Medicago truncatula: one gene and its partner. The protein of the gene in region 2 binds, or shares a complex with, the protein of the main gene of each other region. Links are inferred from orthologs where the notes say so. Each region holds a gene or a part of one and is shown on either strand. Other genes may lie near its edges.

Region 1 (11,278 bases), on a different chromosome or scaffold from region 2:
AATTGAATTTGGTCCTTGTAAAAAAAAATTATTTTGAAAACCCCCCTAAGCCAGCTGACTGTGCATTTTTGCTGATGTGGCATGTTGCGTCACCTTTTTTGGATTACGTAGCGCGCTGATTGTATAATTATTTTTATTTTTTATGGGGTACACGTGTACACAAAAAATTGAATTTGGTCACCTTTTACTTTTGGTTTAATAATTTTTAAAAAAAAATTCACAAATGCCACGTGTACACAATAAAAAAATAAAAAATATACAGTCAACGCGCCACGTCATCAGAAAACGGTGACTCAGCGTGCCACATTCAACGAAAAGGCACAGTCAGCTGGTCTAGAGGGGTTTTCCAAAACAAAAAATTTTTACAAGGACGAAATCTGACAAAAAAAATTTACAGGAGGGAAAACCAAAAATGACTTATATTGCAGGGGGTAAAAGCCTATTAACCCTTAAATAATTAAGGGTATCATTGTTTAACTTCGTACAACGAAACCTTTCTATATTTAATTATTTTAAAGTAAGTTTAAATATTGAATTAACTTTGCATTCAGATCACTAATATCCAATCGAAGTCCAAACCAGAGTACTAAAAAAAAGGTTTAAATATGATAATCATCCTTGTAAAAAAAGAAATTTGAAATATATTCCTGTAAAAAAAAATTTGTTTGAAAAAGGTCTCTGACCCTACTTCATGCCTGACTTGGCATGCTATTCGCTGACGTGGCAGTTGCTGACTGTGCAACTTTTGCCACGTGGCAGTCCACGTAATTAAAAAAAATTAAATAAAAAATTCTGAAAATTATTTTTTAAAATTTAAAAATTATAAAAAATTTCTGAAAATACTTTTCCGAAAAAATAAACTTTGAAATTTAATATTCTCGAAAACTTAATTTTTTGACAAAAAAACTGTTAAAATTAAATTTTCGAAAACTAGATTTTTTTCATTTGAAAATTATATTAAAGTATTAATTAATTTTCTTTTGAAAAAAATATAATATTAAAAAAAATGAATTTTATTTAGAAAATTATACAAAAAAAAAAATTTCAGAAAATTATTTTAATATTTTGAAATTTATTTTCAGAATTTACATTGTTTTTTAAATTTGAAAAACAATTTTCAGAATTTTAAAAATATTTTTAAAAATTTAATATTATGTGGCACACCACGTCAGCGTCATGCGGCAAAAGTTGCACAGTCAATAACTGCCACGTGGTCAAAACCATGCCAAATCAGCTGAATAGTTGAGCCAGGGATCATTTTCAAACAAATTTTTTTTTACACGAAAGTATTTCAAATTTTCGTTTTTTACGGGGACGACAATCAAAACGAGACCAAATTACAGGAACGATTATCATATTTAATTCTAAAAAAAAAAATTACATGTAGGTATTCATAAAATAGTTCGAAGTTTTCCCTATTTGTCGTCATCATCGATGAGGCTATGGGACTCAAGGTCACAGTTACCATCACTGTTTTGTAAACTGTATTGATTTTTTGGCATGGACACGTGGTGCAGGAGGAGGAGAGATGAATGGAACAAAACATCAGTTCCCATTCCAAAATAATCAAAGTTACACCATTAATCTGGAGTAAGCAAGACGGAGACTTATCAAAGCACACATTGTAACTTATGAGTCAAACACGAGTGGTTTGTTTAATCCTAGTACATAAGAAGCATTAATATTATAAGAAACATTCAATTTCTCCAAGACTTTAAGCCCCCAAAAAGCTCCACATAAAACATACAGCATAATACATCATAAGGTAACATATCAACAGAATATCCACCAAACAAAGGGTGATTCATAGCAAGGTAAAACAACCATGAATTGCTTATTATAAAGTAGATTGGTGCCAAGGAATAAACTTAATCGACCTCACTGAGTCCACCAATGGAGGAAGTCCTTGCGCCTATTGATCTTCTTCTGCAGTTGGAGGAGTCCATACAGTAAAGCCTCAGCAGTTGGAGGGCAGCCGGGAACATAAATATCAACAGGAACAATTCTGTCACATCCTCGGACAACAGAGTAAGAGTAGTGGTAGTATCCTCCTCCATTAGCACAACTTCCCATGGAGACAACCCATCTAGGCTCAGGCATTTGGTCATACACCCTGCAATGTTTCGTCAGCATTGACTTGAGAACTGTATATTTAACTGGCTTAATGGACCAAGTCCAAGACAGAATATTAATCAAGTTTCGCGGGTAACGGAATGTAGAAAAGCAAATTAAAATTAATTATTAATTACTAAAGGCAATCAGATGAGTGAAGTTCCACTCCAAATTTTCCAAGTGATTAAAAACAAATTCACAATAGAAATAAACACAATTTTAATATGACAAGGTCGCATGAAATTTTAAAATAAGAGGATCCACTCCTAAATCTCAAGTGATTAAAAACAAATTCACAATAGAAATAAAAAAAAAGAAGTAACAGAGTCCTATAAGTGGAACAGCAATCTGAGTAATGATACAATGATAGATAAAGATGGGCAGGCTAAAGTTTGGCATCATAGAATCATATTTTTCCTTCCGAAAAAGGAAAAATAGTATTATATTAAAATTAAAAAGAGACATAAATCACATTCTTTCTGCAACAATCAGATCCAACTGAACATTTTCGTAGAGATAGAATCCTCACACTTCACATTCAGTGTGAGACAATCATTATCCACATATGAACCTCTTCCGACATGCAGTCACATTCAAATTCAATTGAAATGATTTCTACAACAACATTCGAGCACATAGAGAAGAATGTCTGTTAGCCAACCGTTATGACTTAAGTGTGTATTATTGGGAAGAAAGACCTGTAGAAGGGAATTGGAACCTCATATGGGGGTAATGTGAAACAATATAAACAGGGAGGTAAATGGAACCTCATTTGGGGAGCACATTGTGATTGCAATAACCTGCACACTTGGGAGGTAAATGGAACCTCCTTCTGCTAGTGAAATGGAATGATAAGATATGAAAGAGAGAGGAGAGAACATTCAAAGTTTGAATGAGGATTGGGAAGGTAAGAAAGAAGCAGACTCTTCAAAGAGTCTGCAGACTACAGTGTCTGTCCTCATGTTTTTCTATTTGGTGCTTATCTTCGGTATTTTGATAATATTATTTGATACTATGCCAAAATCAACAGCAGCAGAAGAATCTGTTGTTTTTTATAGTATCAAAACATTGTCATGGGCTTGGTTTTTAGCTAGAACTGAAGCCAGAACATGCTTTAATTTCTCCTCTTGGTGCAATTACCCTTTGGCATGTCTTCAAAGTGGTTAACACTATTTTGTTGTAAACGGATTGAGTACTCCTAGTGATGTATTTTGCTTATAAAAAAAAAAAAAAAAAGCTTTGGAAGATTTCATTAATAGAGCGGTGGTGCTCTAATTCCTTTTCCCTAGCTGTTAGTCTCCGAACAGGCAGAATATATTGAAGCAGCCTATGATAAGATAATAGTCATTTTAGTCCCCGAATGTGTAAAGAGTGGCCACAATTGTCCTTCAATGTAACAAACTTCCAAAATAATATCTGATTATGCGCTTCATTAATCAAAATAGTCCATGACGTTAAAATAGTCCCTCAATGTTGACAATAACTCTTTTCATATAGGGATTGATATGACAACAAGCAAGTACTTATAAATATTGATATGACAGTAAGTATATTGAGGGACTGGTATGACAGTATTAACAAAACATTTTAACGCGAGGGACTATTTTGACAAACGAAATGCACAATCAGGGACTGTTTTGGAATTTCGATACATTCAGGGACTCATTACACGTTCAGGGGCCAAAGTGACAATTACCCCAATGATATATCAACGGTTGATAGATAAAGATGAGCGCCCTATAGTAATTAATAGCAAAATCATATAAACTTCAAAAGTGACATACATCACACTTTTCTTTAACAACCAGACCCAATTGAACATTTTTGTAGACATGGAAAGTTCACATTTCACACCCCTCATATTAAACGTGAGACAATAAATATCCACATACGAACCTCTTCTAACATGCAGTGACATCGCTCAAATTCAATTGAAATGATTTCCACAACAACATTCGAGCACATAGAGAAGACTATTTGGTTGCCAACCCCTATGACTTAAGTCTATATTACTAGGAAGGACAACTGTAGAAGGGAATTAGAAGCTCGTAGGGGGAAACAAGGGAAATATAAATGGGGAAAAGATAATTAGTTCAGGGGAGTGGATAGGAATTGCAATGACCTGCACACTTGGCAGGTAAGAAGCAGACCCTTCAAAGAGTCTGCAGACTACAGTGTTTGTTTTAAGTTATTCTGTTTAGTGCTTATCTTTGGTATTTTGAAGGTAGTGAGTGCTCTAATTTTTTCCCCTAGCTATTAGTGTCCTACAGGCAGAATGTGTTTGTTTTAAGTTATTCTGTTTAGTGCTTATCTTTGGTATTTTGAAGGTAGTGAGTGCTCTAATTTTTTTTCCCTAGCTATTAGTGTCCTACAAGCAGAATATACCGAAGCAATTCATGATAACATAATATGGAATCAAAAGAAACGAAACATTATAATTTTCACAATTAAATCTTATTTGAGAATTGAGCTTATCTATTAGGACAAACACTTGCAAAACTAATTCGGATACGAGCTTATGAAACCAACTCATGACATGTCCATAAGCTGTTTTCAGCTTATTTCCATAACCTCCCCAAGATAGCTAATGAAAACAACTTTCATCTATATGAAGGAAAAAAAAATTGACTTTTCGAATCTTTTGTTATACAAATAGTTTACACACAAGCACTTAAACAATAAGAGCTTAATTATGTTGTTTATCCAAACAAGACCTAAATCAAGAGGGCAATTTAGAGTTTGAACATTCTTCGTCGTAGATTCAAAATACACATTTCTAACAAGATAAACAAATCAACTCTTATATTGGGGGCAAACAATATGAATTACGCCAACAATAAACAAATCTCAATAAGAAAGTAAAAAACCCTAGAAAAGGGGGAAGGAAACATACTTGCGAAGAGCAGGAGCCATCTTATTGGTAAGAGTACCAGCAACAATCATACAATCAGATTGACGAGGACTAGGTCGAAAAATGATACCAAATCGATCCAGATCGTAACGAGCAGCACCAGTATGCATCATTTCAACAGCACAACACGCGAGTCCGAAAGTCATAGGCCAGATTGAGCCAGTACGAGCCCAATTCATGAGATTATCAACCTTCGAGATCACGTACTCCGCCGTCTTCGATATTCCGACGGGAGAGGTAGTCGATGGAGGAGGCGGTGGAGCATAAGGGGTGGGTGTGGTTGATGAGAGAGATGGGAGGGTTGTGTGAAGAGACGCTATGCGTTGTGGTGATGACAATTGTGAGAAGCGTGAAGATGTTCGAGTTAGAAATGCCGCCATGGTTGTTTGTTGCTTCGAGAGCACCGTTCTTTCTCCCTCGTTCTTCTTCTTCCTTCTGTTTGTTGTTTATGGATGGAGAATGCAACAGCCAAACTGTTTTTGTTAGGCGACGTGGTGCACCGTGCTCCATCACTAATTTTTTACAAACCGACCCCCAAACTTTACAATATTGATTTTATGTAGCACATTCGTTAGAGAAATTATATTTATACAATTATTTTTTGATAACTTTTTTTTTTCTCTTTTAAAAAATAATATCAGAGTAATTTAAGTGAATGTCAATGTAAAAAAATTATATTATTTGTATCCAAATTAAATTTTAAAAATAAATATTTTAAGTAAAGAATATTTATAAATCTATTTTATAAAAAATTTAACAATCATTTATTTTTTATATCATTTTATATTTATTAATCGCTTCAAAAGATTAATTTTATCAAATAATTTAATTTTAATATGTCCTTTTTTTACTAAACCAAAACTTTATTTGACTTGGTCACTATTTTTTTTTTTTTAGGAATTGACTTGGTCACTTTTGAAACTTGTATTTCATAAACACTTAGATAATAAACTATTTAGAGTTTATATCAACATTCTCTCTTCAATTCAATCATAAATTATATAAATATGATAAGCAATCCTAACGAAAATAAAAATCTTCAATTTAATCTTTATTATTAACATGTTTAAAATTAATCAGGGTCGTATCTGATGTGGGGCCGAGTAGGACGATTCTAGGCTCCAAAATATAAGTACGAAATTTAGGTCCCAACAAAAAAAAAATTAGAGGTTCATTAGGCCCAAAAAAATTACTTAAATTCTAATGGAATGTGTGGTTGATAGTAACGAGTTTAGTTCTTTGTTGACCCATTTATAATTTATCGTGATGTTAAAAAGGAGGTTCAAATTTCTAGCCTTCCACCATCCCAAACTCTTCCTTCAAAATCAAAAGAAGTTTTTCGAAGTTAAAATTATTGAAAAATTTCTCAAAAAATTAATGTAATAAGAAAGATTGAATGCCATTTTTTATATTGAGAAAGATATGATAGAACATATTGATGTTGCCACAATTATTAATCATTAGTCACTTTGCATCTAAAATATTCATTAGTCACGTTGCATCTATAATTATTACCCAAATTTTGTATAAGCATTTGAATATCAAATAAAAAACTTTATATTTTTTTTTGTATGAATTTTGATGTTTTTACTAGATAATTTTTTAATGTAGTAAAAACTATCCTCTTTAAGGCTGTGTTTGTTAACCCAAAAAAGCTAGCTTATAGCTTGTTGGATTAACTTATAAGCTCGTTAGATGAAAACGTGACGTGTTTGGTAACACGTTTTTTTCATGAGCTTATAGCGTTTTTTAAAAAGTTATTTCAAGTAACTTTTTAGCTTATAGCTGGTAGCTTTTTATATTTTCTTCCAACTTTAACCTTATTAATTTAAATTAATTATTTTTTTAATTAAACAACTATTCATGTTCATCTTTATAACCGCCCCATTTTTTTCCTTAAAAAAAATGTCACGTTGTTTTTTTTTTAAGGAGCACTTTATATATATATATATATTTTAAGGAAATGTTTTATATTTTGCTATAACTAACCTGCTGTACACCACACAAAAAATAACTAGCCTATTTTTTCTTTTAAAGGAAAAAATAACTAGTCTATTGTACGTTGTAAAATTTTATATATTCTAGCTCACATTTTGTTTCCACCTTTCTTTTATTTTTGGGATTCATAAAGCAGAGATCAAAATTGTCGGTGAATTTTTTTTTAGGATTAAAGGTCGAAGAATTTTTTTATGGAGACTAAGACCAAAAGTTTGAATATTTACAGGGATCAAAAACATATTTAACTATAATTAAAAATATTAGAAAAAAAAACATTACAAAAAAATGTGTGTGTCTATATGTATATTAAAAAAAAAAAAATCCTTTTCAGCTATAAGCTATCAGCTATCAGTCATCAGCTATCAGTTAGCTTATAGCTTATTTTTACCAAACTGAGCCTAAGTAAATTATTTTCACACTTTGAAAATTTAAATTTTCCTATGTAATTATTATTAAGGATCCAAGTTATAGGTTCGTCCTAAGCCACCAAATTTTAGAAACGGCTCTGGGACTAATCGACAATGTTTTATGTACTTGGAGACGACTTTCATATACTTTATGAGTATTTGCAAATATGTCTTTGGAAACAACACAACAACATGATCCGGAATAGCAAAGACATCTAACTAAGGGTTGTTACGAAGAAAGTATTTATTGGAAGATTGGCGGGGCGCAAAAGTTTCGTTCGAAGCAAAATGTTCCAACTTGTATTTTTGTTGACGGTGGGAAGAAACTAGATCCAGTTCAGTTCAAATGCAACATCGATGCATCATTTTCAACTCAACTTTTTTTTTTTTGAGCAAATTTTCAACTCAACTTAAAAGAGTTGGAATTAGAATTTGCATAAGAGATGATAACATACGGTAACTTCTTTCTTGCCAAAATGGAATGGTTTTCTTCACTAACATAGAACTTGTTGGTTTTGAGAAGGACTTCAAAATTACGGTGGACAAATTTCGTAAGGAGAAACTTTGAGTTAGGTGTCACTTTACTAGATCGTAGTGCTCTTTTCTTTGAAATAAATTCAAAACTCACATGTTGAGTTTATTAGGAGGCAAGCTAATGAGGCAACTGTCTTGTAAAACAATCACATTTTTAGCTCACATCCATATTTGATTGATATTAACACTTCTATCTTGACGTTATTATTAATGAAGTGATATAAACATCTTTACATAAAAAGTCAAAATTAAGGCGAATTGAAAACAAACAAGTCAAGCTTGCACTGACTTTGTGAGATGTCTCCTCCTGATACTTGTTCTCTTCTTGTTTCATTTTCTTCCCCTTCAAAAATGTAAATAAGTAGAGCTGGATTCTCGATTCGTACATCTTCTATTATCATAATACTCCATCCAAAAAGAAATATAAGCGAATTTTAACTATTTCTCTCTTATTTAATGATAGTATTTCTTAATTGCATTTAATTTTATTCAATTTTGATTTTCTATGAATCAATTTATCATCCACGAAGGATAATTTAGTCAATAGACATAATTTTTTACGAGAAATGTAATCAGCCGTCTTTCTTAAGTTTTACAAAAAAAAAAAATACTATATTTCTTTCTTTCTTTTTTGAGGAAAAAATACTATATTTCTTAAAATGCACAATTTTATCAAATTTTGCTTATTTTCATTCGATTTATTTTTGGGTTGGTCAATTTATAATTATTGAAATTGATCTAGAGATTTGTTTTTTTGACAAAATAAACGATATTCATTCAAATTGATAGAGTATATCGATGCAATGCAAATTCGTTAAAAATAAAAGGTTAAACTGCAGTTTTAACCCTCTAACTTTCACAATGGTGCGATTTTGGCCCCCTATTAAAAAAATGAAAATTTAAACCCCTATGTTTTAGCCCATTTGCAAAAGAGACCTTTTGGTCAATTTTGACCGGGTCAACGCGAAGGTGTCATGCCACATGTGTATTTTCCCATTTATTTTTATTCAAAAGGCCACTTGTGTAATACTTGAATAAAATATATATATATATATATATATATATATATATATATATATAAAGTGTTGGCACGTGAGAGCACGTGAGAGTTCCCGACGGCAAAAAACTCCAACCTTAAAAACCCCCCAATTCTTCAACCCTTCTTCTTCATCTGTTCTTCTTGATCTTATTCGACCATAACCGAACCTTCATTTGTTCTTCTCCATAACCGAACCTTCATCTGTTCTTCTTCAACCATCTTATTCAACCATTCTTCTCCTTTCTTCCACATCGATTCTTCCTCTACCTCCTTTCTTAGTTCCACATCGATTTGTTTTGTGTGTTTGCAGATCGGAAAACAGAAAATGGTTGGTAACAATTCATCTTCAACTGTTTCTGGGTCATCAAGTATGGCCAAATCAAGGTTGGTTTGTTATTGTGGTGTTGAATCACCTCTAGTCACGGCTTGGACAAATGAAAATCCAGGAAGGAGGTTCCATGGTTGTGGAAAGTATTTCCAGAGAAGAAAAATGCAGTTTTTTCAGATGGTTTGATCCAGAAGTGCCTGAGAGGCAGAAGAAATTAATTAGAGGACTTTTGAAGAAGAATGATTCAATGAAGAAGAAGGAGAAAAAGTTGGAGTTAACAATTGTAGTTTTAGGGATGTTGTTGTTTTTAAGTTTGTTTGTGATTTTCATTAAGCTTGGTTAACTTATGGATTGATGTAATATTGGTATGATGTAATGTTTCAGTTATGTAATGTTGCTATGATTTTGATGTAATCTCTGCTATTGGCAAAGAATTAATGAAACAGGTTTTATGTTTTGGCAAAGTTTAGTGCATTATAGTACTTAAATACTTGACATTCAAACGAAGTTAACATAGTATTACTTCACATTCACCAAATACAAAATACATGAAGAGTATTTAACATTAGAGTACTTAAGATGACATAGGTTTAAAAAGTGCATTAACCTTACATAACCATAACCAAAACAAAGAACTTAACCAAAAGATCATAACCAGTACTTTAGAGTACTTAACCTTACATAACCAAAATTAACCAAAATATAAGATAAAGAGTACTTGACATTAAATAACCTAAATTAATCAAAATATAACATCAGTCTCATTGTCATTAATTGCCATTCCTAACTTAATTTTTGTTCACTGATTGTTGAGTCCCCACAGTTGCCATCTCATCACTTTTCCTTTTAGCTCCAGCAAACCTTGACCTTCTAGGCACAAACAAGGATGAATCACCAACAATAACATGCTTACCAGATGTGTTACTGGTTGTAGTAGTTACATGAGCAGCAGTTACAGAACCAGCATGGTTGTTTGTACCAGCAGTAGCAGTTGCAGGTGCATTTGAGTGTTGTGCATTTGAAGCTTGTGCATTTGAAGCCTCAGGGTGTTGAATATCAGTATTATCCTACAATATCACAAAGTGTGTTATATATCAGATCATGTGTTATCTATCAGAAAGTGTTATAACAACAGAAACTGTGTTATTAACTTGTTCCCTCCAGGTTTAATTGACCTATCAGTAGCTGTTTTACCCTTACAAGTCCTCATGTTATGTCCAAGTTCCTTACATCTTGTGAACCTCACAGTGTCCTGATTTCTCTTTCCCTTCTTGCTAGTTGTTGACTTAGGCTCATCATTATCCTTCCTTCTAAGCTTCTTTGGCCTCCCAGGTGCCCTTCTGACTGGAGGTGGCAGTATTGGTGGAAGGTTCACTTCTGGCCATATCTTTCGTCCATTTGAAGGCATGATAAAATTATCATATGTATCCAAGAAAGTTTGCTTCCTGTCATGTGAAACCAACCAAATTATACTTAATTAACCACTTAAATTAAGAATACATAAAGCATATAAAATCACAACTCACCTATACCAATGTGCCACATATTCATCTGGGTTTTGGCTATCGTAGTAGATTACTGCAACAACATGTGGGCAAGGAATACCACTTAATTCCCACCTTCTACATGAACAGGTCCTCTCTTTGACATTAATCACATACATATCACTTCCATCAGAAGCACTAAAGTGAGCATATTCTCTATCACCATGCCAAGTTGGTGACCAATTATTTGCATCCTTCTTAGCCTTGTCAAATATCTTTTTGATCATTGGACAAATATCACCAGAATACCTCAACATGTAATCCCTTAATCTAACTATCATATTAGTTATATAAAACTTTAGTCCCTCAATAAGTGAAATAACTGGTTGCTATCTTAACTCAATGATTGAAGAGTTAAATGCCTCACACATGTTATTGACTTGTAAGTCAGAACATGTGTGAGTC
Region 2 (11,045 bases):
GTGCTTAAACAGGGCAAGATATACTTCCTGGAGACATTTTGAAAAAGTAGTAAGAATGCTATCAAACTTCCCTTTTACTTGATATTCAAGAGATTGCTAAATAAACCCCAAAACCTTAAAAATAATGAATCAATTATATTTAATTTACCATTCGCTCATAGAATAATAAAAACCAAGAAGACCAAGAATATTAAGAGTCAATACTTGGGTGGTAAAAATTATTATTGATTGGTCTGACATCTATCTCTGTCATTGAGGGTTATTTTTTTCATATCCTTAATCATTTCCGTTTCCACCCAAAAGCCTATGAAAACAAGAGAGAGAAAATATAGCCTTTCTTTGCTAAGCTTCAAATGTCAACAGAATATTAGAGAATAGTTGCTCCTTTTACATATGAAAACCGAACTAGAAATAAATTACTGGCCTAGAGAGTGAGAAACTAAATGTACCTCAGGTAATTCTCTTAAAACCGCTTCTTCGGCAGCTGCTTTACATCTAAGCATCCTGGAAGAAGATGATGGAGATGCACCTAAGCAAGAAACTTGAATGAACCTCATGATACCACCATGTTCTTTTGAAATCTGCAACGATACAATTTGAATATCAAATATCAGATCAAATTTGGAAATTCCAGATATTACAATAATAAAAAAATAATAAAAAAAATAAAAAAAAACATTCAAACTAATCAAAACCAAGCTTTGCAAGGATTGATATTGGCTCACTTAACATGCACTAAGGGCCCGTTTGGTACAACCTAAAAAAAGTGATTTTAATACTCAATATTTTAGAGATTAATTTTTAGAGATTTTTAAAAAAAGTAGAAGTTGTTGTGTTTGTTTTCCATAATGAAAATAACCTTTTCCTTAAAAAAAAATCTGTTATAAAAAATTGATTTTCTGAGAAGCTACTAAAAACAGCTTCTCATTTGAAAAAGTGATTATTTTATTCGAAAAAAAAAATGTGATTTTTTCATGAAAAAAGCTGTAACAGAGAGGCTCTAAACCAATCATTATTGTACGATTCAACCAATACTCAAATCCATTGGAGATATCACCTAAAGTTTGCAAGAGGCTTCTGAGCCCATTGAAACTGCTTTGAACCTCTAAACTGAATGCTTTCCTCAGATAAGCTCATAACTCAATCTAGTGAATCATACAATTTTCAATTGATTCGATAATCATTTCGGAAGACTTTCTTTTAAATAATTGAAACCCTGTCAGGAATGGTTACAAAACATAAGAGTCAATATGTAGCTTGAGAGTGGCACTGAACAATTTGGATATGTTATATTTTTTATGCTTGGTATCAATTTTAGTTGACCAGATCCAATAATACACAATAGATTCTTGAGAGAACATTATGGTAACCATGTCGAGTTGACTTTCTTTTTCCCCTTTCTCTCACAACTTCATGAACATCCTAAATTTCACAGTTAGCAGCGTGTTTCTCAACATTGGAGGCTACATTTAAAGTCATTTTCTTTAAAGATTTAGAATGTTCTGTTATTATTGAAAATAAACGCCAATGTACAAACACTAAGCAAATAAAATTCTCAGAGAGAGTGGTGAGTGGTTCATAATTTAAGAATAAGACATTAACACGATGATATGGGATGAGAAAAAATTAACAAATGTGAAAGAACATGCCTTTGCAAGTTTCTCGGCCATGTGATAGTGCACTTCCTCATAGCTGAAGTTTCTTGTCTCATAATCCCTTCCTGCCAACAAACAAATAAGCCAAAATGAGTATGTGATTATGAGACAAAAAATCACATACTTTCCATTATGTGAGGTTATGTGAGAATTGTGTGAGATTACCAATGAGATTGATGACAACATTGGCTCTAGCCATTACAGCTTTAACCGAACTCTCATCTCTTGGATTGAATTTCATAGGTACAATCTGGGCATATTAATCACGGGAGGATTAGCACAAATAGTGAATGGAAATAGCGCACGAATATACCACTACTTACTTTCCATTCTAATACAGAAGAAAGAAAAGACAAAAGCAGATTCTTCACAAGTATTAAAACATTTAAAAATGTTACCTGTCCTAAATCTCCCATCAGTTTGAGATGACGAGGAGAATCTTCAGAGCCTCGGAAAGGAACTAAGACTTGAGATCCCATTTTAGCTGGAAGAGGGGAATGACATCCCAAAAAAACAAGCAATACAAGATTTAAGCTTTCTTAACAATATTTGGGTAAACAATTCGTTGAAACAATTACATAACCCACAAACTTACCAAGTTGTTGAACAACATAACGACCAAGGAATCCAGTTGCTCCAAATACTGTGGCAACAATACCACTGCACAAGGATTTGCTTTCAAGATTAATTTACCAGCCATTTATGAGAACATTTAACACAGATCAAAACCTTCCAAACCCTATACTTTCTTAAAAAAGGAATGGAAGGCAAGTAAACCAAGTAAAAAGGTGAAAAGATTTTGATCCTAATCTGTAGGTTAACGAGGTTAATAAACTATAATTCATACTACAAGAAAAAATTTCAAAATAACCATTTCTATTCATTCAGAACGCAAAAAAACAAAATTGAACAGCTCCCAAGGAAAAATCAATCCTAGCCTTAAAACTGCAAGCCTACATTCGATAAATGAGAAACATTCATGATATAACTTCAAGAAGGCATAATATTAAACATCATACATCACGCTAAATAATGAACTGATGATAATACAAATGATTATTTACAGTGTCTAGTCTGTCCTAAACATGCAAAATCAATCTATAGTTGCATCCAACCAATCTTAAAACATTTTCACAGTTTGATGAACATCAGCACGTACTAAACAATGTAACCTCATTTCGTGAAAACATTATTTCAGATTGTCTCAAGTGCAGAAACTACATCCAACTAGGAAAATTTATCAAATCTTATCCTATGGATAAGTTAAGAGATGGAAATATCATCTATAAAATGTTTCTAGAGTCTAGACCACACAAATATAGGGGCCAAAGTTAACAGCTAATGGTGAAATCACCAGCAGTTGGCTTCATTGCCAGCTATGGTGCACGGACTCTGACACAACACAGATTCCGCAACATGGCTAATGTCCAAAATATAGGAGACGGAGACACTGCATACGAATATATAATTAACCTGACAAAAATCTAAATTGAGAATTAAGATTAAGGCCCTCAAAAAAAAAATATTAAGATTACGAGGAATCATTTATAATGCAATCTTATTCTTATTTCTTCACATATATAATCCTAAGATAAGAAGATGAATCATGTCTTTAATAACAAGTAATTAGTCCTATGATAATGAGCCTAATAATGAGACGTCATTGTTGTATTTGTCTCAAAAAGCATTCGATACAATCTAAGGTTAGGGAGTTCGAGAAGTGTATGGCTAGGAGCAGGTATAAGCTCAGTCTCTTGACATGTGTCCGAACCATCTTTTTAATTGAACACCAATAAGAGGTGTTTGACACATGTTCAAGGTGTGTCCGAGAAGTGTCAGTGTCTGTGCTTATGATTACAGCTTTAGTTTTTGTTTCTTGGTAATCCAAGATCAAGCAAGCTCAAAACCCATCAAAAACACTAGTTCTGCATCTATACCAAAAGTCCCAAATAAAAAAGAATTTGCAAGCCCCATGTATATACTATTCAAATATCTCTCCACATGAGCGGATTTAATATATCAAGGACTTTAATCACACTCATTTCTCTCAACAACTTCCATCAAATTCAAATACCTCACTTAATAGCTATCAAGCTCAAAACTCATATGCACAAAATGTAGAACCTAAACTAAGAGAAATGAATATTTATTTTATGAATCTTATCATAAATATCCATAAAATTATAAAAATTCAAGTAATGAAGTTAACCTGACAGATGATCTTCCACCAGTACCCTTGCGGACGAGGTGACCAACGCCCTTGGTAGCTATGGTGGAAACATAACGCTCGTGATTTACACCATAGTCTGCAATTACGATTAAAATACTTACAATTAGTTAGTTAATTAGAAATGGAATTGGGAATTAAGGATGATGCATTATACAAATTCGGAAAACGTACAGTGATCGGAAATTGGATAGCTGGATTTGAGCAAAGTTGAGGATTTCAGAGATTCGTGGCCTAAGCGTCTTGTAATAGCTTGCATCTTAGCGTTACCAAGAAGAACCTAAGCAGAGAGAGAGAGAGAGAGAGAGAACGGAACGAACACAGAGAAATGTTGATATGCTATGCTATGGAGGCCGGAAGGTGCACGATATTTGGACTAGATCTATTATTACCACCTCTTTTATTTTAAAATACACCCACCCTTTTTTTTTTTTTTTTATGAAATGGTCATCTCTATTCTCCACGTAACTGCAAAGATTAATTCATAGATCCGTTAAAAAAAAAAAACACGATGAGTGGAAAAACTCTTTGTCAAGAAGAGATTTATCATTATTGCATTTTATGGTTGGATTCGAACACATGACATCTGATTAAACTGAATGAGATCTATTATTGAATGCACCCACCCCTTTATCTAAACATTACTATGTTTTTCCATTTCATATTTTTTTTTTATAATTTATTTCTGGTTTTTCCACAATGTTAAACAAAAAAAATACTATCATTAATTGTTTTACAGATTCTTATTTTTCAAACTCTAAGGTATAGTTGAAAACAAGGATTTATTATATCTTCAATTTCTATAACATACTTTGTTTTGAAACAAAGATGGAATGCTATTGGCAAATGAAATTATAAAGATGTAAATTTTAGGAGAAAATACACACATAAAAGGTTAATTTTTGGTACACATTTATACATTCTCAAATTCTTAAAGGTATACCAACATCTCCAAAAAAAATTAGGACATATGTGAATTTTAACCAATCAACAAGAGAGATAGAGAACATGTAATTCAGAGACTGTGTTGATACTTGATGGCATACTTTGTACAATTACAGGTAGTTGCTAAACCAGCAAAGTCACTATGATTAAAGTCATACGTTTATGATTAATTGAAAATGTAACCAAATTTACACATACAACGTAAATTAAATTCGTAGAGTATTCATAATATATAATATCATATTGCAAAGGATAGTTCACTAGCAAATTACGACATTGTACAAAAGAGTTGATTACACACACTACCAGAGATGATAAAAAAAAAAATGAACAGCCAACTATGCAAAAGAGAAAATTTAAGCAATGTCATTTCTGTGGGATAGTAAATGTAGTCAAAACTTCAGCCTAGAAACGGGCTTGATTCTGCGTTGCTAACTAATAAGAAAAACGTGGAATACACAAGACTAGTTCCAACTCTAAACTTTGCTAAGCAAACACTCTACTGCCTCATTCTCAAAACTACTTTATTGTGCATACTTGATGATCCCAATTCAGACACCCCATGTTTACCTTCCTGTAACAGCGGATCATCTTACTTTTTTCTTGTAACAAAACATGTCAACCATGCATGAACTCCTCAAAAGGATGAATCAACTCATAACACTTTCAACCAGGAAACTCATTTACTCCCCCCCACTGGAGCAGTTGAGGGACACGTGTTCATTTTATGTCTCTGCGTGTGCCAATGCAGCAGTGGCAGCAACTCAAGCATCACCACTGTTTCCGCTTTTGATTGCCGCTGCCTCTGAAGGTTCTTAATCTCTTTCCACCACTAACTATGAAGATTTTCAGACATTCTCAACTTGTTTAAAAATCCGGCATGCCAGTTGATCGCGATGAATATTCAGTCACCAGCTTCAAAAACATGGATGACTTATCTTCTAATAGCCTCAATGGAGTGTCAAACTCTGCAACTAGACCTGCAAAAAATGTCAAAAGCTAACATCATGAGCACATAGTAGTGAAACATAAAAATTATATATAAAAAAAATAAAATAAATCATTTCCAGCCATCCCAAGCACTCAATTTAAAATCACATCTGCGCTCTATTTCCTTTTCATGTTGTGCATGAAATGGGAAGATAGAGAAAAGAATTATATAGATACATGTTGCTCCCTGACAGATTTAGAAGTGAGCAGACACATGTAGTAAAGTAACACGTAAGCGCACTCATAAATTGAACACATTGTCAGCCAATTTTACTATTTTTGGCATTCCGTTGACTAAAAGACTAAATTGATTTAAAACTGACACTATAACAGAATCTCGCATTAAAAAAGCAGAATCTACAACCTGCTGAACTTTCAACTCTCTTATATGACTGGTATATTTACTTTATCAGAGATGACATTTTGACACAAAAATTTGACAACAATTTAGATAGTTAACACAGTTTAAATATGTGGTTAGTACTGTCTAATGATGGTTAGTGAATATGACAAGGTGTCGCAACTCACTAACCATCTATTGAACGTAGTTAAGCATGATTTTCAACGTCATTAACCACCAAAATTTTGGTGTTCAAATATGCATAATATCCTTTTTTTTTTTTTTTGGTCAGGATGCATAATATCCTTTAACCATCCAAATTGTGGTCAAATATACATGATATCCATTAACAACAAGTTTTGTTTAAATATACACCAGAAAATAGTAGTTAATGACATTTAAAACAATGGTAAATTATGTCCAGTGGATGGTTAATGAGTTGTGACACCTTGCTATTTTCGTAAACCATCCACTTGAATGTAATTAATCGAATATATGAACTATGTTACTATCCAAATTATTGTCAAATTTAGGTGTCAAAAAACACAACTCATACTTTATTTTGTTTGGGACATGAATGTTTACTTTCATGGAACAATTTCTCAAAGCTGCAACAGAAAACAAAGAGGTATATTGATGTGATTTCAACATTTAACTTGAAAAAATTGTTTACTGTCCTGTTGGACAAAGCAAAGCCTAAAAGCAATTTTACTGCAAAAAAGAAAGAAAAGCCAAAGAACAGTATAAAACGATACGTACCATCACTGAGTACCAGGACAAGATCACTGTCAATAACAGTAGGAATACGATGAGCAATAGTGCACACAGTACAGTCTCTGAACTCCTCTCGGATAACCTTCTGGATAAGATTATCAGTAGCACTGTCAACAGAAGCTGTTGCTTCATCAAGTACAAGTATCTTTGACTGCTTGAGCAGAGCTCGGCCAAGAGCAACAAGTTGCCGCTGTCCTACACTCCAATTATCACCATTTTCTAGCACTGCGAATTTGAAACAAATCATAAGATACCCGTGACTCAACATTTTACCTTCCCTTTTTCTTTTTCAGGGGTTGGTGAAGAAAAGATACCGGGAATATTCCAGTATTTTGGTGGTCTCTTACCTGGTGTATCAAGCTTTTGTCCTTTCTCACGAATGATCTCTCCAAGCTGAGACTTATCTAGTGCCTATGAGAAGTTAAACACAAAGCAATCAAAATTAGAACCACCTACTCTTACATAAGATAGCCATAATTTTCAAATAACAAGGACTATTCAATTATTTTCTTATGCTATTAGATTTATAAGGAGTGAAAATCATAAGTGGATTTGGAAACTAATTCAATCATCTAACAATAAAATAGCATTACTAAGTTAAAAATTACACAAATTTTGTGCAATTATTTAAATGAAACTATCTTTTGTGCAATTATTTAAATGAAACTATCTATCTAAATAATACTATTATACTAACCTCCCAAATCTCTTTATCAGAATGCTCTTCAAGAGGATCCAGATTGCCTCGAATGGTGCCTTCAAATAAGGTTGGATCTTGTGGTATGATACTCAAATGGCTCCGAAGGTCATGAAGGCCAATTCCCGAGATATCAATGTTGTCTATAAGGATACTCCCGGCTGCTGGTTCAACCAATCGAAATAACGCCTGAATCAAAGTAGATTTGCCACTGCCAGTTCGTCCAACTATTCCAATCTTCTTCCCACCAGGAAATGTGCAGGATACTCCATGAAGCACCATGGGAAGATTTTCCTTGTAACGAACCTTCAAGAGAGAGACAGTAGAGGGAAAATGAGGTGGATCATCGCCAGAAAGAGGCAATTGCAGTAGAAAAATCACAATAAAGATTTTGATGCAATGCACATTTCTAAGAGTTTGGATTAGACTCTAATGTTGTGCAACAGAAGAAAACATAAGAATCTTCCCGCACTCAAAATTTTTTAAAATAAATAAAAATTAAAATGGCTAAAATCAAAATTAAATGCGGTAGAATAGACATGAACTACTTGGTGCTGAACAAAGAACAAAGAGCATATTTAATGTGAAACTTAGATGGTACCTTCAGATCAATTAGTTGAATTGTCCCATTCACTGGCCATGAGGGTGGAGGGCGAAAATCTTCAATAAGTGGTGGTGCTTCACTAGGAATTTGACTGTACTGATAAATCCTTTCAATAGATATAATTTTATTTTCAAGTTTACAAAAGCTTAGTATCCAGCGAGACAAACGTCCATTTAAATTCAGGCCATACGTCACAGCAAGTCCAGCCATACCTATAAGCAGAAAAGTAACAGTAATTAGCAACAGAACATTGTTTACTATTGCATTCTGCTTGGTTCCAAACCATCACTTAAGCCCTTTCCTATAACACAATCTAATACCATATACACCTGCTTTAAGTGAAATTGAAATGCAAAAGAACAAAATCATACACCAAGTATGAGCTATCAGTAGACTATTCTATGTGATAAACAAATTCAACAGTAAAGACCTGAGTCGTAACAATAGTGCGAAACAACTATGTGAACAGAATCAAAATAGTAAAGATTCCATAGGAATCATTTCTAGTAGTAACTACTTCAAATAATACTACATGACTTTGTTTTGACAAAATATACTACATAACTCAATCCTCCAGGATTTGACATCATGAAAATTGGGAATCAATCAGGAAAAAAACTCACTGGGGTCAATACTTCCACGGGGAAAGCTCACGAGTAATACCATGCAGAAAGCAAATACAAAAGTTGAAAGCAATTCCATGCGTAGGCAGAGCCACTCAATAGCTGCAAGACTGCAAAAGAATGGTCGTGCAAAACAATCCAGAAGATAGAGGTTCCTCTTCAAGAACCTTTTTTCTTGTCCAAAACCTCTGATGGTGGCTGCTCCAGCAATTGATTCACCAAAAAGTTGTATAATTGGAGATTTCTGGATGCTTACAATACGTACAAGTTCCCTTGAAGAAGCCATGTAGTATTTCTGCAATTAATTAATGGTCAAATATTAAGCCACAGCATTGGGAGTTAGGAAAACACAAAATGCAATATATTAATGGAGGATTTCTAGTCCTTCGTCAATGTATCTTCTCTGTACCCCTTGAATAAAAAATTTCCTTAACAGAAAAATAATGAATAGGAACTTTATGATAAATGGGGTTTATTTTATCCTTCATGGCTTGATTTTCAGCTAAAGAAATCTTTTTGAAAAGCAGATTGAAAGATTAAAAAATAGGCTTATGATTTCCGATTACCTGCATCCACAAACAGACAATTGCCATTGGGACTACTAGGAGCAAAACTTGCCATGTAACTTCTGACATTACAGCAACAATGCCAATAAGTTGTATCGTTGATGAAGCAAACCCTCCAAGTCTAAAAGGAATGTCAAGATCCACAACACTTTGATCAATTGAAACCTGAGGGAATAAAGGTAGTTCATTATATGATGTAGAGAGACAAAAACAAAAGAGGAGTGGGAAACAACGAGAAAACTTACACGATTCAGGATCCTTCCAGCTGGTGTAGAGTCAAAGAAAGACATTGGTGCATGGAAAATACTCCTAAGCATGTTAAAAAACAGCTTCTGTGCAGCTGCTAGACCAAATGTAGCCACGAGAACGGCCCTAACAAATATGAAGCATGAGCTGCCAAAGGCAAGGGCCATGTAAACAAGAAGAAGAGTCGTGGGAGTTACTTTGGGCTCGTCTCCTTCTGTTTGAGGATTCGCCCAAGCCATCCACCAATTGCTGGCAATCTGAAGGAACTGAAATAATGTTTGTGCAATGATTATGAGGGGAATCAGTAAGCCTTTATAGGCGGCTGCCATGTAGGTCAGGTACACCTTCATGCTGACTCTACCTCTAACCCTCTCCTCTTCTTGAACAAGCTGTTTTTTTCTTGAGCGCTTTGCCTTCTTCTTTTCCTTTATTTCTGACGATCCCTCGTGAACTTCCTTCGCCAAACTGGCAATATCATTTACAGAAGAAATAGATTTCTTACTGGTCCTAATAGGTGCATCCAACGACTCATTTTCATCTGAATCTTCTGAGGATGAGTGAGTAGGAATGTCCATTGCCTCTATTGCTTCATGGTGAGCTGAAACTAGAGATCTAAAATCTGTTCCTGCCTGTAAAAGGTCATCATACTTTCCTGCCTGTATGATCTGGCCTTCTTTAAGAACCTTCAAAATTGGACAAAAAAATAATAGTAATTGAGAAAACTACTTTCACTTTATACCAACCACATTTTTAAGATGTAAGATAATAAAGGATTCTTCTTAGTCTTTGAAAGAATTAAACATCATTATAGACAAAGATAAATACGACATGTAGGCAACTAAAGAAACTAAGGATCAATGTTGAAACAAAACAATGTAGCTAAATTTAGAAATATTGTTAGAAAGTATCAGCAATACATTCAATTACCATAATGGCCAATTGATACGAGTAACGAGTTTCTCTCAGGAGGAAGCTGCTATAAAACAGAACAATATCGGGTTTCACTCCTGAGCCTTAGTCTTGCACAAAGCAATTAAATATGGACCCAAAAGTCATACGTTTTCCTTCTGACTTGTATTATAGCTGTCAACATCTCATGTCATATCCTATATATAACAATAATTTCACACATGTTTCCCTACAATATCTCCAAAGTAAGAGTCTGATTTTTTTTCATATTAAATACAGTGGGAAAATCAACCACAATTCCAGTTATTACACACATACAGCCTACAAATTTGACAGACTAATGAACTCAAACCAAGATCATAGTATAAAGAGAAAGAATTAAGAACCCAACCAGGATATGCAAGGAGAAACAATGCATCACACTGAAATAGTAGAGAGCAACAGCCACCCCTGATCATACAGGGAATAT

The links.
Region 1: the proteins of NADH dehydrogenase [ubiquinone] 1 alpha subcomplex subunit 9, mitochondrial (region 2) and NADH dehydrogenase [ubiquinone] iron-sulfur protein 7, mitochondrial are in contact, whole or in part, in a cryo-EM structure (PDB 8BEE), measured with the Arabidopsis thaliana proteins. The link is inferred for Medicago truncatula from reciprocal best matches to the Arabidopsis thaliana genes AT2G20360 and AT5G11770. Residues at the interface, in NP_565469.1 of Arabidopsis thaliana: Arg100, Gly101, Ser102, Glu103, Asp104, Arg107, Lys110, Leu111, Lys122, Thr151, Arg152, Asn153, Phe154, Pro330, Phe331, Pro332; in NP_196738.1 of Arabidopsis thaliana: Arg140, Glu148, Arg150, Trp151, Asp176, Arg177, Ile178, Val179, Pro180, Val181, Asp182, Lys205, Arg208, Arg209, His214, Trp215, Trp216, Asn217, Lys218.

Annotation. Positions count from the first base shown.
Region 1 is NC_053044.1:51,497,108-51,508,385, forward strand, and holds NADH dehydrogenase [ubiquinone] iron-sulfur protein 7, mitochondrial, read right to left. Parts: upstream 5,490-11,278; 5' UTR 5,404-5,489; coding exon 5,006-5,403; intron 2,114-5,005; coding exon 1,879-2,113; 3' UTR 1,556-1,878; downstream 1-1,555. UniProt on the Arabidopsis thaliana protein: Core subunit of the mitochondrial membrane respiratory chain NADH dehydrogenase (Complex I) that is believed to belong to the minimal assembly required for catalysis. Complex I functions in the transfer of electrons from NADH to the respiratory chain.
Region 2 is NC_053042.1:33,994,234-34,005,278, reverse strand, and holds the start of NADH dehydrogenase [ubiquinone] 1 alpha subcomplex subunit 9, mitochondrial, read right to left. Parts: upstream 4,247-11,045; 5' UTR 4,142-4,246; coding exon 4,057-4,141; intron 3,962-4,056; coding exon 3,865-3,961; intron 2,316-3,864; coding exon 2,251-2,315; intron 2,140-2,250; coding exon 2,054-2,139; intron 1,906-2,053; coding exon 1,821-1,905; intron 1,721-1,820; coding exon 1,650-1,720; intron 582-1,649; coding exon 450-581; intron 1-449. Other genes in the region: ABC transporter C family member 5, read right to left, coding at 5,695-5,807, 6,917-7,156, 7,279-7,342, 7,629-7,934, 8,230-8,444, 8,856-9,150, 9,422-9,586, 9,667-10,350. UniProt on the Arabidopsis thaliana protein: Accessory subunit of the mitochondrial membrane respiratory chain NADH dehydrogenase (Complex I), that is believed not to be involved in catalysis. Complex I functions in the transfer of electrons from NADH to the respiratory chain.